Arabidopsis thaliana: one gene and its partners. The protein of the gene in region 2 interacts with the protein of the main gene of each other region in a pairwise test. Each region holds a gene or a part of one and is shown on either strand. Other genes may lie near its edges.

Region 1 (5,285 bases), on a different chromosome or scaffold from region 2:
CCTTGACGGATTGCGATTGTGGTCTTACTGTCTTAGTCTGCATGAATGCTTTGATTTTATGAATTTCCATGGACACCAACAATGTTTTTCATGCAATTTGCTTAATCAAGGATAATATGCTAAGAGTTCTATAATATGTATCTTTGTGACCAATTAAAAATGTGGTATGTATTTGGTTGAACCTAAGTGATCGTTACAAAACATCGAAAACATTTATTTTCTTTAAAACCTAAAATACATTTGATCTAGTGATAGCGAAGCGAATTGTAGAATAAGCGGATTAAATAATAGGGTGTGATTAGTTTTGAACAAGCGAAGTAGAATAATGTATAAAAGGTAAGAGTAGTTTTGAAAATGGATATTCTAAAAATGAAATTTCTCAAATATTCTACAAAAACTTATGTAAAAAATGTTTTTTTAACACTGGATGACAATTCTTTGAACCACACCACACCTAATTTTTTTTTTCTTCCTCGTTTTGAACGTAACAAAAATTATTTTGCATAACTCAACCTATAAAGAACCAACAAAAACAACCATTGTGTGAAACCCAAGAAAAAAAAAAATGCATTTCTTTGTTGACTCTTGGTTATCACAAAATGGTTCGTGTTGTTTGCTGTTTTGCAATTTACTATTGAGCTGTGACTTGAAATTTGATATGGTTTAATTCGAAGTTGTTTTGGTTTCTATTCGTACCAAAGACAAATACGATTATTTTTCCCAATTAACCTTATCATTAAAATGATCTTGAGATTGCATTGCCAAATCTATATAAATTTTTTTGATGCATAACAAAGCAATGGATTTCCATTATTAGTAATCCTTGATTCACAGATTTTGTCTTGAAAACATTGTTGGATGAGATTTCGTTTTGTGTTTTTCCTTGTGAAAACGTAATTGTTTTCGGTTATTATATTTCTTCTGTCAAATATATATGGTTCCTGATAATTGCTTCCATTGATTACCTACTTGTCGTCCGTACCCTACCACATTAATTGTTTTTCTTTTTATTATGTAAATGATTAACATAAAAAAAACTCCGGAAGCATAGGATTGGTTAATAAACCGGGTATCTGGCTGGCTTCACCGCGTACAATTTATTGAGCAAACAAAAAATAGAAGGAGAATGCATATACCAAGATACAATACTTGGAAAATGATGTGGAATTAGTTGTTCAAAGAATTCAATAATTCTCAACTTGATGGGTACCTTAGGGAGAGATACAATCCACAAACCAAAGATCACGGTAAATAGTAGTACTAGTATGTTTTTTCATATCTTTTGTTGGTCCCTTTGATTCTTTTTTACTTTTAAAGACAAAAAAATTAATGGCAGACAAGACAATGTGAATATACTTATGTAGTCGTGCTTGTTTTTATACAGTAGTAAGTATAAATTTGATTAGATAATTTTACTATATACATTATAATATTAATTTTACAAAATAAATTTGATTTATAGTTTTAAAAAAATTTTAGTTATAAAAACACCATAAAAATTAGATCTAAAAATTATTTTCATGAAATCGGATTTTTCCGAAACAATTTTACTGTGGATTAGAAAGTCGGAATTTGATTCCATCGATTTTTTATTTTTTTATTTTTTGCAAAAAAATCCGATCGAATTGAATATTTACTAGACTAATTTTTTTTGGCTGGACTAGTTTTTCTCTAAAATTAGTCAAACTTGAAAATATAGGCTAGTTTAGTCCGTATAAAATAAGTTCTAATTTGACATATTGTATCGAGTCATCCAAAATCATATAAAAAATTGTGTATAAAAATTTTAAAATTTTTTTTTTAAAAAAAAAAAGCAAAAAAGTTGACTTATATGGTAAATTTTTCTTAAAGATTCTAAAAATCATTAGTAAATTTTATTATTTTAAAAATGTTGACTTAATGATTATATTTTTAAATAAAAAACATAAGATGAATTTGGCTCTTTATTAGTTCTTCTTTTGATGGTTGGTAAGTGTTAACTGACTAACTGAGAAACAGAGTGACGAGAGAATTAAAGAGACACTTGCCAGAAGAACAAATCTCTCAAGTGGGACGGGACCCACCGCATGTCCCTTTCTTCATTCTCCTTCGTCTTCGTCTTCTTCGTCTTCGTCTTCGTCTTCACTTCCGCCATGAGAAAAACCTGCACACACGCCTGAAAAACCAAATCATCCTCATCATCTTCTGATCTAATGTCTACCGACACTATCCCTTCCCTCTCATCTCCACCGGCGCCGGAGTTTCCTTCCACCACACCAGACACGGCGACGTCACCAGCTCCGTCTCAGCCATCCATCATCGGACCTTCTTCGTTGGCTCCGTTTCCGGAGACAACAACAAACATTGATGGAGGCTCGAGAAATGTAGCATTAACTGGACTTATTACTGGAGTAGTTCTCGGAGCTACGTTTGTCCTACTCGGAGTTTGTATCTTTGTCTGTTTCTATAAAAGAAAGAAGAGGAAGTTAAAGAAGAAGAAGAAAGAAGATATCGAAGCTTCTATTAACAGAGACTCACTAGATCCCAAAGGTACTTTATTTAGGGTTTCTTTATTTCCAAAGACTCAATCTTTTTTTAATGATTATTCAATTCCTCTGTTTTTGTAGATGATAGCAATAATCTTCAGCAATGGAGTTCATCAGAGATTGGACAAAACTTGTTTACATATGAAGATTTGTCTAAAGCAACTAGTAACTTCTCCAACACTAACCTTCTTGGACAAGGTGGGTTTGGTTATGTTCATAGAGGAGTTCTTGTTGATGGAACTTTGGTTGCTATTAAGCAGCTTAAATCTGGAAGTGGACAAGGTGAACGAGAGTTTCAAGCTGAGATACAGACTATTAGTAGAGTTCATCATAGGCATCTTGTTTCTCTTCTTGGTTATTGTATCACTGGTGCTCAAAGATTGCTTGTTTATGAGTTTGTGCCTAATAAGACTCTCGAATTTCATTTACACGGTGAGTTTTTTTTAAAAGACTTGTTTTCAGTTATGCTTGCGTGAATTCCCGCAGTTTTGTTTGAATTATGGTGGTTGTTTTGTAGAGAAAGAGAGACCGGTAATGGAGTGGTCAAAGAGGATGAAGATTGCTTTGGGTGCAGCTAAAGGATTGGCATACTTACATGAAGATTGTGAGTATAATGTTCTTGTCTTTGAGTATTGTACAACATTAGTTTCTGAAGTTTTTGTCAAGGAGATTTTGTTTTGTTTCAGGTAATCCTAAGACAATACACCGCGATGTCAAGGCTGCAAATATTCTAATTGACGATAGCTATGAGGCGAAGGTATTCTTGAACTTGTAAAACTATATAAAAATGTTGTTTAGACTGCACTACTAATAATGCTGAACTTGGTTCATCAGTTAGCAGATTTTGGACTTGCCAGGTCTTCTTTAGACACTGATACTCATGTCTCCACTCGGATTATGGGAACCTTCGGGTACGAAACACTCTTTTCTATACGCAACCATAACCATAATAAGTTCATAACATACTAACAATCTTTTAAACTTCTTTCTTGTGATGCAGTTACTTGGCTCCTGAATATGCTTCTTCAGGGAAACTTACTGAGAAATCAGATGTCTTCTCAATTGGAGTGGTGCTTCTTGAACTGATAACCGGACGCCGTCCTGTTGATAAATCACAGCCTTTTGCTGATGATGATAGCATCGTTGATTGGGTTGGTTATCTTGTTTCCCTTACCACCACTTTTAATAAGCTTTTAAACTTTACCTCATGCTCTAGGCAAAACCTCTGATGATACAAGCGTTAAACGATGGAAACTTTGACGGTCTTGTTGACCCGCGGTTAGAGAATGATTTTGATATCAACGAAATGACGAGAATGGTTGCTTGCGCTGCTGCTAGTGTCCGTCATTCAGCTAAACGTCGCCCAAAAATGAGCCAGGTACTAACTATCACATCAAAACCTTTTGGCAACATTCAATCTAACACTAGGATAAAAAATGAAACTTTGTGAGTTCAATGGTGTCATTGTTCTTTGGACAATTGCAGATAGTTCGAGCATTCGAAGGAAATATATCTATAGATGACCTAACAGAAGGAGCTGCCCCAGGACAAAGTACTATTTACAGCTTAGACGGGAGCTCAGATTATAGCTCAACACAATACAAAGAAGACTTGAAGAAATTCAAGAAAATGGCGTTCGAAAGCAAAACATTTGGTAGCAGCGAATGCAGTGGTTTGACTAGCGACAATGGTCAGAACCCATCAGGCTCGTCTAGTATCACCGAAGGCCAACGTACAACGCAGGAGATCGAACCGGAGAAGAATACCAAGGACACATGAACTTTAAACAGAGGATTCTTGGTAATAGTTAAGTCTTATCATTTTGGGGTAGGACCCGTAGGTTTAGGTGTAAAACACATTATTCATTAGACGCGCTTTCACTTTTAATTATTTCCATGTGTGGCTCTAATCGAAACTGTCATGAGCCTGATATTGCACGTGAATATTATTTGTTGGAGATTTTTTTGAGTTTGGTGTGAAGATATTAAATTAGATTCAATCAAAGACTTTATGATTCTTAATTATTTTTTGGCCGTGATATATTATTTGAGTGGAAAGTTATTTTTAACATCTTTGATTCTTTTTTTAAAGCATGTTTTCTTTTGTTATCCATGCAACTTTGAAGAAATTGTTTTTTTTTTTGCAAATGAAATCCCATATATATATTAACCGATTTTAGATTCAGAGAAATAATATTTTTATAAGCATGGTGTTTGATTTTTGGTTGAAGGAGTAATTATTAGTATAGTTAGTACATAAGTCAATGGTAATTAACAAAACATTTGATAAAGTAAACATAATTAGACCGTTTGAAGATTTCTTCAAGTATAATTAATTAATTTTTTAAATTGTTTATAATAAGATTAGTTAATGACTAATTAAAGGAGGGGCAATTTTGGGAAAATAAAAGATTTTAAAATAGTAACTTTGCTGTTATTTAGCTAATACAGTATATACTTTTTCTGTAAATCACACGAAGAAGAAGAACCAAAAGAGAGAGATTGTGAAAGAAGAAAACAGAGACAGTTTCTTCGCTGAAAAGAAAAACCAAATCAGCTAAATCCCTAAAAGTTTCCGTCAATGTCTTCTCGCCGGAGAGTTCTTCTCAAGGTTATCATTCTCGGTGATAGCGGGTAAATTCTCTCATCTCTTCAGATTTCAGATTTGATGTGGTTTTATTTGTTCATTGAATGATGAGATTTTGATTCTTTTTTTATGGCCAGTGTTGGGAAGACTTCGTTGATGAATCAGTATGTTTCT
Region 2 (3,246 bases):
GCACTAAATTTGAAATAATTAATGTGTATGGTAAACTAGATTAGAATTAGTTCTAGACTTCTAGTGGTCGAGATTTGTTCATAAGCTTTATGCTCGGACACGTGAGGAACATACCAAAATGTTCGAATCTATTATGCCATACACTTATTTTAATCATTTCTTCTCTATGATAGATTGCTCACCTAATTTATATATAATCTAAGAATATACTACTTAGCTTTAACGTATTTTATCCGATAACGAATTCATGATACCAAAAAAGTTCTAAAACAAAAGAGGCATCTTGTATTATTTATAGTATTTCTAACTAAAACACAACACTGATAACATTTAAATTGCTTTGTTCCGTTTAATTAGTAAACAAATGAAAAGCTGTCGCGTCGGTGGTTGGGTTTCATTCGGAAAGATTTAAAAGTAAAGCGCACGGATTTTAAGGTCGTTCAACATTTAAATTTTTTTTGAAAGTAAAATCATATATCAATGCAATGTGTAATCTTGTAACGTATAAACTAATGAGAGATACCTAAAGAAAAGAAGCCTCGCGCCTAAACAGAAACATAAGATTAAAATAAGTAATATAGAAGCATAAACTTAAGCAAGATTTTATTCCTCGTGAAAATATTACATTTTGTAATTTTATTTTCTCTAGTATTAAAAAAGGAACAACTAATTAACGGAAATACTTAAGGAATTAAGAACAGAGAGGTCTCATACTTAGTCAAGTTTGGTGAAGCTATCAAAGAGAATGTCTTCGTGTTGTCCGCCGACGACATAGTCAAGAATCCCTTCCGCCGCCACTTTTAAGCCTGCGCCTTCGCCTGGGATGATGGTAGACGAAACCGGGAGATCGGAGGTGCGTGCGAAGAAGAAAACGGCAGCGAGAAAGAGAGCCGTGGAGAGAAAAAGTGGCCAGAAGTAAGATAGAACGGTGAGGAAACCGGGAGAATAAGCGACGAGAGCTACGGTGAGGAGAGATAAAACAAAGGCAAACACGATTTGCAACTTGAACTTCAAAAGCTTCTCCCGGAACTCCATCTCCGATCACCGACAAAGATCTGTGAGTCTGTGACTGTTGTGTTAACACGAGAAAGATGGAGTGAAGAGAGATAGAGATATATCTAAAAGAGAGATAGTACAATGCTAACTCTCTCTCTGTCTTTCCTCTGAGTGTCTATACGTAAAGAAATAGGAAAGATTCTCTGTGACAAGGATAACGTCAAAATCTCAAGTTATTTTGTTTTTAAACGCGTTTGAAAATTATACTGTTTTTCTTCTAACGAAAATGATAATATATTTTTAAGATTTTTATGTTACTTTGTTCTGTGACTTGTATGAACATTTTTTTTTTTGTAAAGTTGTCGTAAAAGTCAAAGAATGAAACATTTTCTGACATAAATAGTAAATCGTACAAAGCTAAAATAATGATAAGAGAGATATTTTCAATTCAGTTATAATGTTGTCCGTTTTGCATGATTGAATTTTTAACTTTGGATTCAGGCCGACCAAAATATGGGCCTTTAAAAGCCCGATTTGGGTTGCTAACAGACGACTACTCTTTTGTTAGAACTTACACGAGCCGCCGTTTCTACTTTCTAGCTCTGGCAAAACGGCGAGGCATTTTCTTTAAACATATCAACATACAATTAGCAGCATCTCTACAAGTTTACACTTCTCTCATAAAACCCAACTCTACGAATAAAAGAGAAGGTGTTTTCATTTATCCTCTTCGTCTAATTGCATCCAAACTCTCAGCAGAGACAAATACAGCTTGCTTTTAACGTCACAAGGCTCGAACCAGACGAGCTGCAAATGCTCCATCTAGTGAGTGTTTCACTGGGTTTGATAAAAAGAAGCCTTGTGAGGTTACAAAACTCGACGGTACAAAACTGGTTACTGGATCTATGGTGAATTCCTGTGAAAGCAGAGAGACTATTTGTTAATATCAACATCTGAAGGAAAGCAAATGGATTATAAAGATTCTTACAGGATGTCTTAAGAGAAATGCTTCGACCCTTCCTTCATTTTCCTCGGGGTCTATGGAGCAAGTACTGTATACCAACACCCCACCGTGCTTCACCAGTCTTTGAGATTCAATCAAGAGTGTCACAGATAAAAGTATCAGATAAGTCGCATATTAGTGTTTCAGAATTAATCAAATGACTCATCAAAATGTATGTACAGAGTGCATACTTGGAGGCAGAATCAAGAAGCTCATCCTGCAGTTTAGTGAGCTCTAACATGTCCTCAAGTTTACGGTTCCAGCGCAAATCCGCTCTCTACAAAATACAGATTAATGGGAACAGGTTAATCAGATCAGGTCAATTCAACTAGCAATGTTAAATCTTGCTGGCGAAACAGTTAGATAAACTTTTCTCATGTTAACCTTGGAGAGGACGCCGAGTCCAGAACACGGGGCATCAAGCAAAACTTTGTCATATTGTACTTCATTGGTTTCCTAAAACACATTAAGTTGGAAGGAAGCATGTGAGTAGCTTACAAACTTGGAAACTTCAGATACTCAAATAATGTTAACTTACAGCAAAGACACGAAGATCAGAATGAATGGTTGTGATAAGTCCATCAACTTGGTGTGATTTTGCTGTCTCACCAAGAATTCTTAGCCGTCCTTCATTCACATCCATAGCATATATCATACCTATAATCGATTCGAGTTTGCCAGTTTGAGGATGGAATCAGTCAAGTATAGTAGAAAAGTTTCTCAAAATAGATAATTTAATTCAACATTAATGTACAATAGAGGAAAATAAGGGGTCTTTGTAATATTACCTTGGCCTTTCAAGCAAGATGCCATGAATAGGGTCTTTCCTCCAGGAGCAGCACATGCATCCATTATCCTCTCGCCTGGCTGAGGTTTCACCACTGAGACTATTAGTCCTGCAGTACCAGATGTGGGGAGATATTTAGATATCAAAAGAACAAAAGGATTTTGGATAAACTTAAATCTGTTAACAGCATGAAAAATTAATGAAGAGGAGACTGTATCTTTTCTCAGGAGCAGTCCAAATAATTACAAGACCAAACTGACCTGCACTCTCGTCCTGAACAGAACAGATGCCTTCTTTGAGTAAACCAGCTTGCACAACGGTCTGTTAAAGAAAAGGCCCATGATCAATTATGAAACTTATCAGTAAAAAAACTAGGATAAGAAAATTGCCAACAAGAGGACAATTCACGGTTACATTACAACACCTGCAAGCCTGTTTTGATGCGGACAAATTCCTCCAA
Region 3 (5,012 bases), on a different chromosome or scaffold from region 2:
GAAATTGGAATTATTGGGTAACTGAAAAGTTGTCAAAAGCTAATCTATTTGTGGTAATTGGATTTTCTTCCTAAAAATAGTATGTACATATCACTTTTGGTCGAATGTCTCCTTGTCTAAAAAAAGGTCCATAATGTTCTGTTCAAATTCATGTCTTTTTACGTGGCTGCATAAACTTCATCTAAGTCCCAACATTTTAACTACCTCAAACTGTCAACGTCTTGGAATAATCAAGTCCCCAAATATTGTCTATATCAATCAAATATCATAAAACTTCTCCACAAGGCACCAGGAATGTAATTATATTTAACACAAAAAGATATCGATATTAATAAAAAAAACTTTATACAACCCTTTATTTGAAATCAATTGGTAAACCAAAGTACAACAATAAACATGCCTAAAAGTCTAAAACAATTAAAAAAAATTCAAAACAATTTGTTAAGTAGAAAATTCAAAATTGTATGCCAAGGTAAAAAATCGATTTCAATATTACTGAAGAGATATTGAAATAGCGATCTTTTACATACCGAAGGGTCAAACATGATAAAGGCACTCAAAGATTAATATGTGCAAAAGATGGCCGCTCTGCCTACCAAAACGACATGACATGCGGATGGAAGATTTTTGCACCATCATACGTAAGTGTATACACTACTGTGTAAATTTCTCATATCGAATATACCATCTCATATAAAAAGCTTCCTATCTTGACTAAGAAATACAATAAAACTGTAACGACTATTGGAATGAAACCTCAATAAAACACCAAAAATAAACAGCTGCAAATCTAAATATTAGAAAGATTGTAACATTTTTAGAACAAGATCCAGATCTATTCTCTAACTGACCAATCAACTATCACCAACGTGTAAACAAGCTAACACATAAGTTTATGGAGTTAGAGAATATCTTCTACCACTTAAAAAGAAAAAGAACGAAAAACATGGAAGAGAAATATCGAATAAGGAGGAGACAGACAAAGGAGGCTTCTAAAGATAATGAAGGTATATGCAAAAGAGGTTTGGTTTATATAGAGAGAGGCTTGGAAATTAGGTCAATGGTGTTTATTAGTCGGTCGATGGAAATAGGCAGAAATTGGAAATAATATAAAAAGGCAATTTTCTAAGAAAAGAAGGAAATCTGTTTGGTCAGCGGGCAGCTACCCGGTGAATTAAACAATTCAGCAACTTGTCTGAAACAGGCAGCCTCGAGACTCCCACATGATCTTCCCGGTTCAATTTGGTTTACAAGTCTAATTGTATTTTAGATTTCGGTTTGGTTTGATTTTTCTTCTTTTTCTTTCTCAAGGGCCCATTTAGCATGATTTCTCGCAAGTCTACTATTGGATTAACCGATTAAGCATTAGGCCGAAGCCTAGGATCAAAATTCAGGGTATAAAGATCCATATATCGCTTGACTAAGTTGATAAACATCCGACCACAACCCCTTTTAAGTCCAATGAAATCAAGTTGTTAGTTAATTCATTGTGAAACTAGAGATTCAAGTTTTGGTTCCTTCAAAGATATTCGATATAAAAGAGAGGACTTCAAGTTTTGAGAACGTAATTACATGTTTCACGTCGTGGTTTTCAAAAAAATGATTATAAGAAATGTTATTTTCGTGTTGATTGTATGATTTGAAGAAACAAAACATCATGTAAATCTAAATGTAAAGAGCTTTTTTATCTTGAAAAAAGTTGATAAAAAAGTTGTGAAAGTTCTATTCAAATGATTTTTTTTTTTGTTAAGACTATGTTCTTCAACTCGTTATTTGACTATTTAAAATAGAAAATCAATTGTGATTTAATAAAAAAAAAAACTTAATAGTAATTTCTCCGAAACGACGACGTTTAGAGGTGTTGGTATTAAAAAACCTTTGATTAACCGCTTGCCTGCAATCTGCTCTCCTATCTCTTCCAATCTCCTCTCCTCTCTATCTATCCGCGTCCCCATTTCTTCTTCCCTCTAAAATTCCAATCTTTCTTATTGCTTTTTTTTATTCAAAGCTTCAAGATTTTCACTAGGGTTCTTTCCCTTTCTCTTATTCGATAAATTCTGTTCTTTTCTTTCGTATTCTCACGGACGAACAAACCCCAAGGCAACGAGCTCATGATTGAGGTCCGTTCTTCTGCTCTTTCCCTCTCAGTTTCTTCGCAGCTGTTTTCTAATTTGCAATCTATTTTATGGATTTGGGGTACTTTTGTTAAGGGAACAAAACCTATCATTTTCCAGGTTTCTTATGGTTGCGCTTTAGATTTTATAGTTTAGTGTAATTTAATCTGATTTGGGGAATTGGGTGTTGGATAAGAGTGTTTTGCAGCTGAGAGGATTGAAAAATTGAATATTTATGATATTTAAGCTCGCTAATGAGGTTCTCTTACTTCGGATTTTGCTCAGCTTCGCTCCTGTCAAGTAATTTTTGTTGTGATCTATATATGAAATTTCCTTTTAATGTTTTATGGTCGCTACTTGTGATTTCATCATCTTTGGAGGTTACAATCATCTTATTCAATCCTTTCTTCGGCCTCAGATTGTGGCTTTTGAGTAAATGATTCACTGCTCAGCTAGAGACAATGGTGTTGGTAACCCATAAATTGCAGGTATCTTAGACATAGATCTGTAAAGTCCTAAATTCTACTTTGTTTTGTGTCTCTGTAATGGTCATGTCTGCAAATGGTTGTACCTTCCGTTTCACTCTTGTAAAGCCTTCTTTTACTTGCCACACTAGAAATATAGATGTTTACCTCCCCCTTGTTCTCTCATGTAGGGTTCACATGTCTTGTCTCCTTGGAGTTCGCCAACATGGACCAGAGGCTTGTGTTTAAAGAGACCTGTTACGACAGTGCACTTTGTTGAGAGGAAAGATAAGCATTTACGATTGAAGCAAAAATGTTGTTTTAGGTGAGTATCCCACTTTACAAATCCCTGCTTAGGTTATGTACTACTTAGTTTGAGACTCATTACTCTCTCTGTACGACTGTACTCTAGGAAGGTAGATACGTAGTTATATTGTGGATTAAAATGTGCCTCTTAATACGCTGAGACCTATCTGTTAGCTAAGAGATTCCTTGTTAGATACTGAGACGTATGAACATATAGGAAACTATACTAAAAAGTTATAGTTCATATATTCCCTTTGCAATTGATTCTCGGAATCATAATATGTTGTGAAACTCTTTTGCAGTTTAGGGTCCCCTTGCAACGGTGGATTGAGAGCAAAACCTTTCAGAGTTACATCTTTTAAAGGTGGCATCCAAAATAATGAATCAGGAGGAAGTGAGGGTGGGAAGAAAGTTACTAATAACTCTGTCAAACTATCTTACCGTTCAGATGATGACGAAAATAATGTGAATGGCTCCCCAAAGGCACAGAACACTTCGTTTTCATATACCTCGGAAACAGAGGATTCCATGACAGGGCAACCCGCTATTCAGAAACTATTCAAGAAATGGTTGACATTGTTGCGCACACAGTCACCTATTCAAGTGATTGACGAGACTTTAGGAGGAGAACAGGTTCCACAAACGACGAAGCAAGAAACTGAAACAGAAATTCGGAAAGCAGAAAGTCTCCAGAGTACCAAAAATACAGTTTGGTCCTGGTTTTGGAGTCTAGACGCAGCTATCAAGATTCCGTTGCTGTTATTGTAAGTATCAGCATCAAAGCATCTTTTTCTTTTGCTTGATGAGGTAGTCTAGAGTTAGTTATCAATAGAGGAAAATCGACTAGATGTGAACTTATATTCAAAAACTGTCCTTAGGAAGATTTAAGAGTGTCACAGCCACTTTTTTCTTTTCCAAGTTCCTTGTATGTGTATTGACTATACTTTCACCTTGACCTTTTTTGTAGTGTTCCAGCTTTCCTAGCTGTTTACGCGATCTGTGGTGCTGAAGTTACAAAGGAATTATCCCCTATGTGGGTGGTTGGCCCCTTGATCATCGCCCTTTATATAAAAATGTTCCAAGGACTATGTTCCCTTTACGCCTTCTGCTTCAACCAAACCATCAAAATGATAAGAAACCTACCATCGTATTATCTTGTAGCATACCAATACATTGCCGATGGAAAGCTCAAAGACGACGTTAAAGCTCTAGTGTTTAAACCAGTGGTGGCCATCAAGAACACAGACTACAAAGAGCTCACACGCACGAAGCTGAAACAGTTCCAAGAATGGATCATTGAGAAATACCTGGATTTTGTTGAATCTGTATGGCCTTATTACTGCAGAACTATCAGATTCCTGAAGAGGGCTAACCTGATTTGAAGATCTTCAACATGGAACCCTCAAATTCTGACTTCTCAGGGCTTCTCTATGATTTCTCTCTGTGCTTTGTTTACCTTTTTTTTTTTTTTTCTTAATTTTAGGAAGGCTTTTCATGTTGTTTGTTCTTATCTCTATGTATACTGATACCTTTTTTGAGGTTTTACAATGAGTTCTTTTAATATTAAGGGTTATCCCTTTTCTCCATACTTAAAAATTATCTATACACATATAAATCGACAACAACAGAAGAAATAAGTGCTTAAAGGTCTCTTATAAACCTCTTTAGCTCCGGAAATTTGATGGTAATGTTTCTTCAGTAAAGTACTCCTTTCTGACGGTCTCTGCTGAGCAAAACTTGACCTTCACATAAAGCAAAGTATAAAAATCCATCTAGTCCAGTCCTCTGAATAACCACACTATGTAGTATATAGCAATTAGAATCGATGCATAAAAACATAGCAATATGGTATGGAAGTTACCAGAGAAGCGTATTGCTTCACCAACGGTTTAGTGAATTGCCAAATTGGCTGAAATATGAATGGAGCATCTACAAAAAGGACTTCATCCAATCGGCTTGGATAGTAATAGTAAAATACGTCAAACTGCAGAAACAAAACAATGGAAAAGACAACAATAAGATCAAAGACCATTCACCTGTAAGAAGATACAAAAACCATTCACCTGTAAGGAGAAAGAAATACCAGGAAAGTCAAGAACTTAAGATCTGCGTTCTGAGATCCGAATCC

What was found.
Region 1: the proteins of AT3G13175 (region 2) and PERK15 interact in a protein complementation assay, tested with the Arabidopsis thaliana proteins (one large-scale study listed by BioGRID).
Region 3: the proteins of AT3G13175 (region 2) and EMB2759 interact in a protein complementation assay, tested with the Arabidopsis thaliana proteins (one large-scale study listed by BioGRID).

What each region holds. Positions count from the first base shown.
Region 1 is NC_003070.9:19,469,270-19,474,554, reverse strand, and holds PERK15 (Protein kinase superfamily protein), read left to right. Parts: upstream 1-1,972; 5' UTR 1,973-2,192; coding exon 2,193-2,529; intron 2,530-2,606; coding exon 2,607-2,957; intron 2,958-3,042; coding exon 3,043-3,129; intron 3,130-3,211; coding exon 3,212-3,282; intron 3,283-3,359; coding exon 3,360-3,436; intron 3,437-3,525; coding exon 3,526-3,676; coding exon of another isoform or gene 3,677-3,741; coding exon 3,742-3,903; intron 3,904-4,010; coding exon 4,011-4,304; 3' UTR 4,305-4,735; downstream 4,736-5,285. Other genes in the region: RABG3d (RAB GTPase homolog G3D), read left to right, coding at 5,106-5,158, 5,249-5,275.
Region 2 is NC_003074.8:4,234,546-4,237,791, forward strand, and holds AT3G13175 (uncharacterized protein), read right to left. Parts: upstream 1,270-3,246; 5' UTR 1,036-1,269; coding exon 715-1,035; 3' UTR 530-714; downstream 1-529. Other genes in the region: AT3G13180 (NOL1/NOP2/sun family protein / antitermination NusB domain-containing protein), read right to left, coding at 1,781-1,912, 1,985-2,081, 2,191-2,276, 2,384-2,455, 2,538-2,656, 2,788-2,895, 3,047-3,107, 3,211-3,246.
Region 3 is NC_003076.8:25,290,534-25,295,545, forward strand, and holds EMB2759 (embryo defective 2759), read left to right. Parts: upstream 1-1,870; 5' UTR 1,871-2,111; coding exon of another isoform or gene 2,112-2,120; intron 2,121-2,532; 5' UTR 2,533-2,575; coding exon 2,576-2,602; intron 2,603-2,769; coding exon 2,770-2,903; intron 2,904-2,917; exon of another isoform or gene 2,918-3,161; intron 3,162-3,186; coding exon 3,187-3,648; intron 3,649-3,851; coding exon 3,852-4,266; 3' UTR 4,267-4,462; downstream 4,463-5,012. Other genes in the region: AT5G63060 (Sec14p-like phosphatidylinositol transfer family protein), read right to left, coding at 4,549-4,626, 4,746-4,868, 4,968-5,012.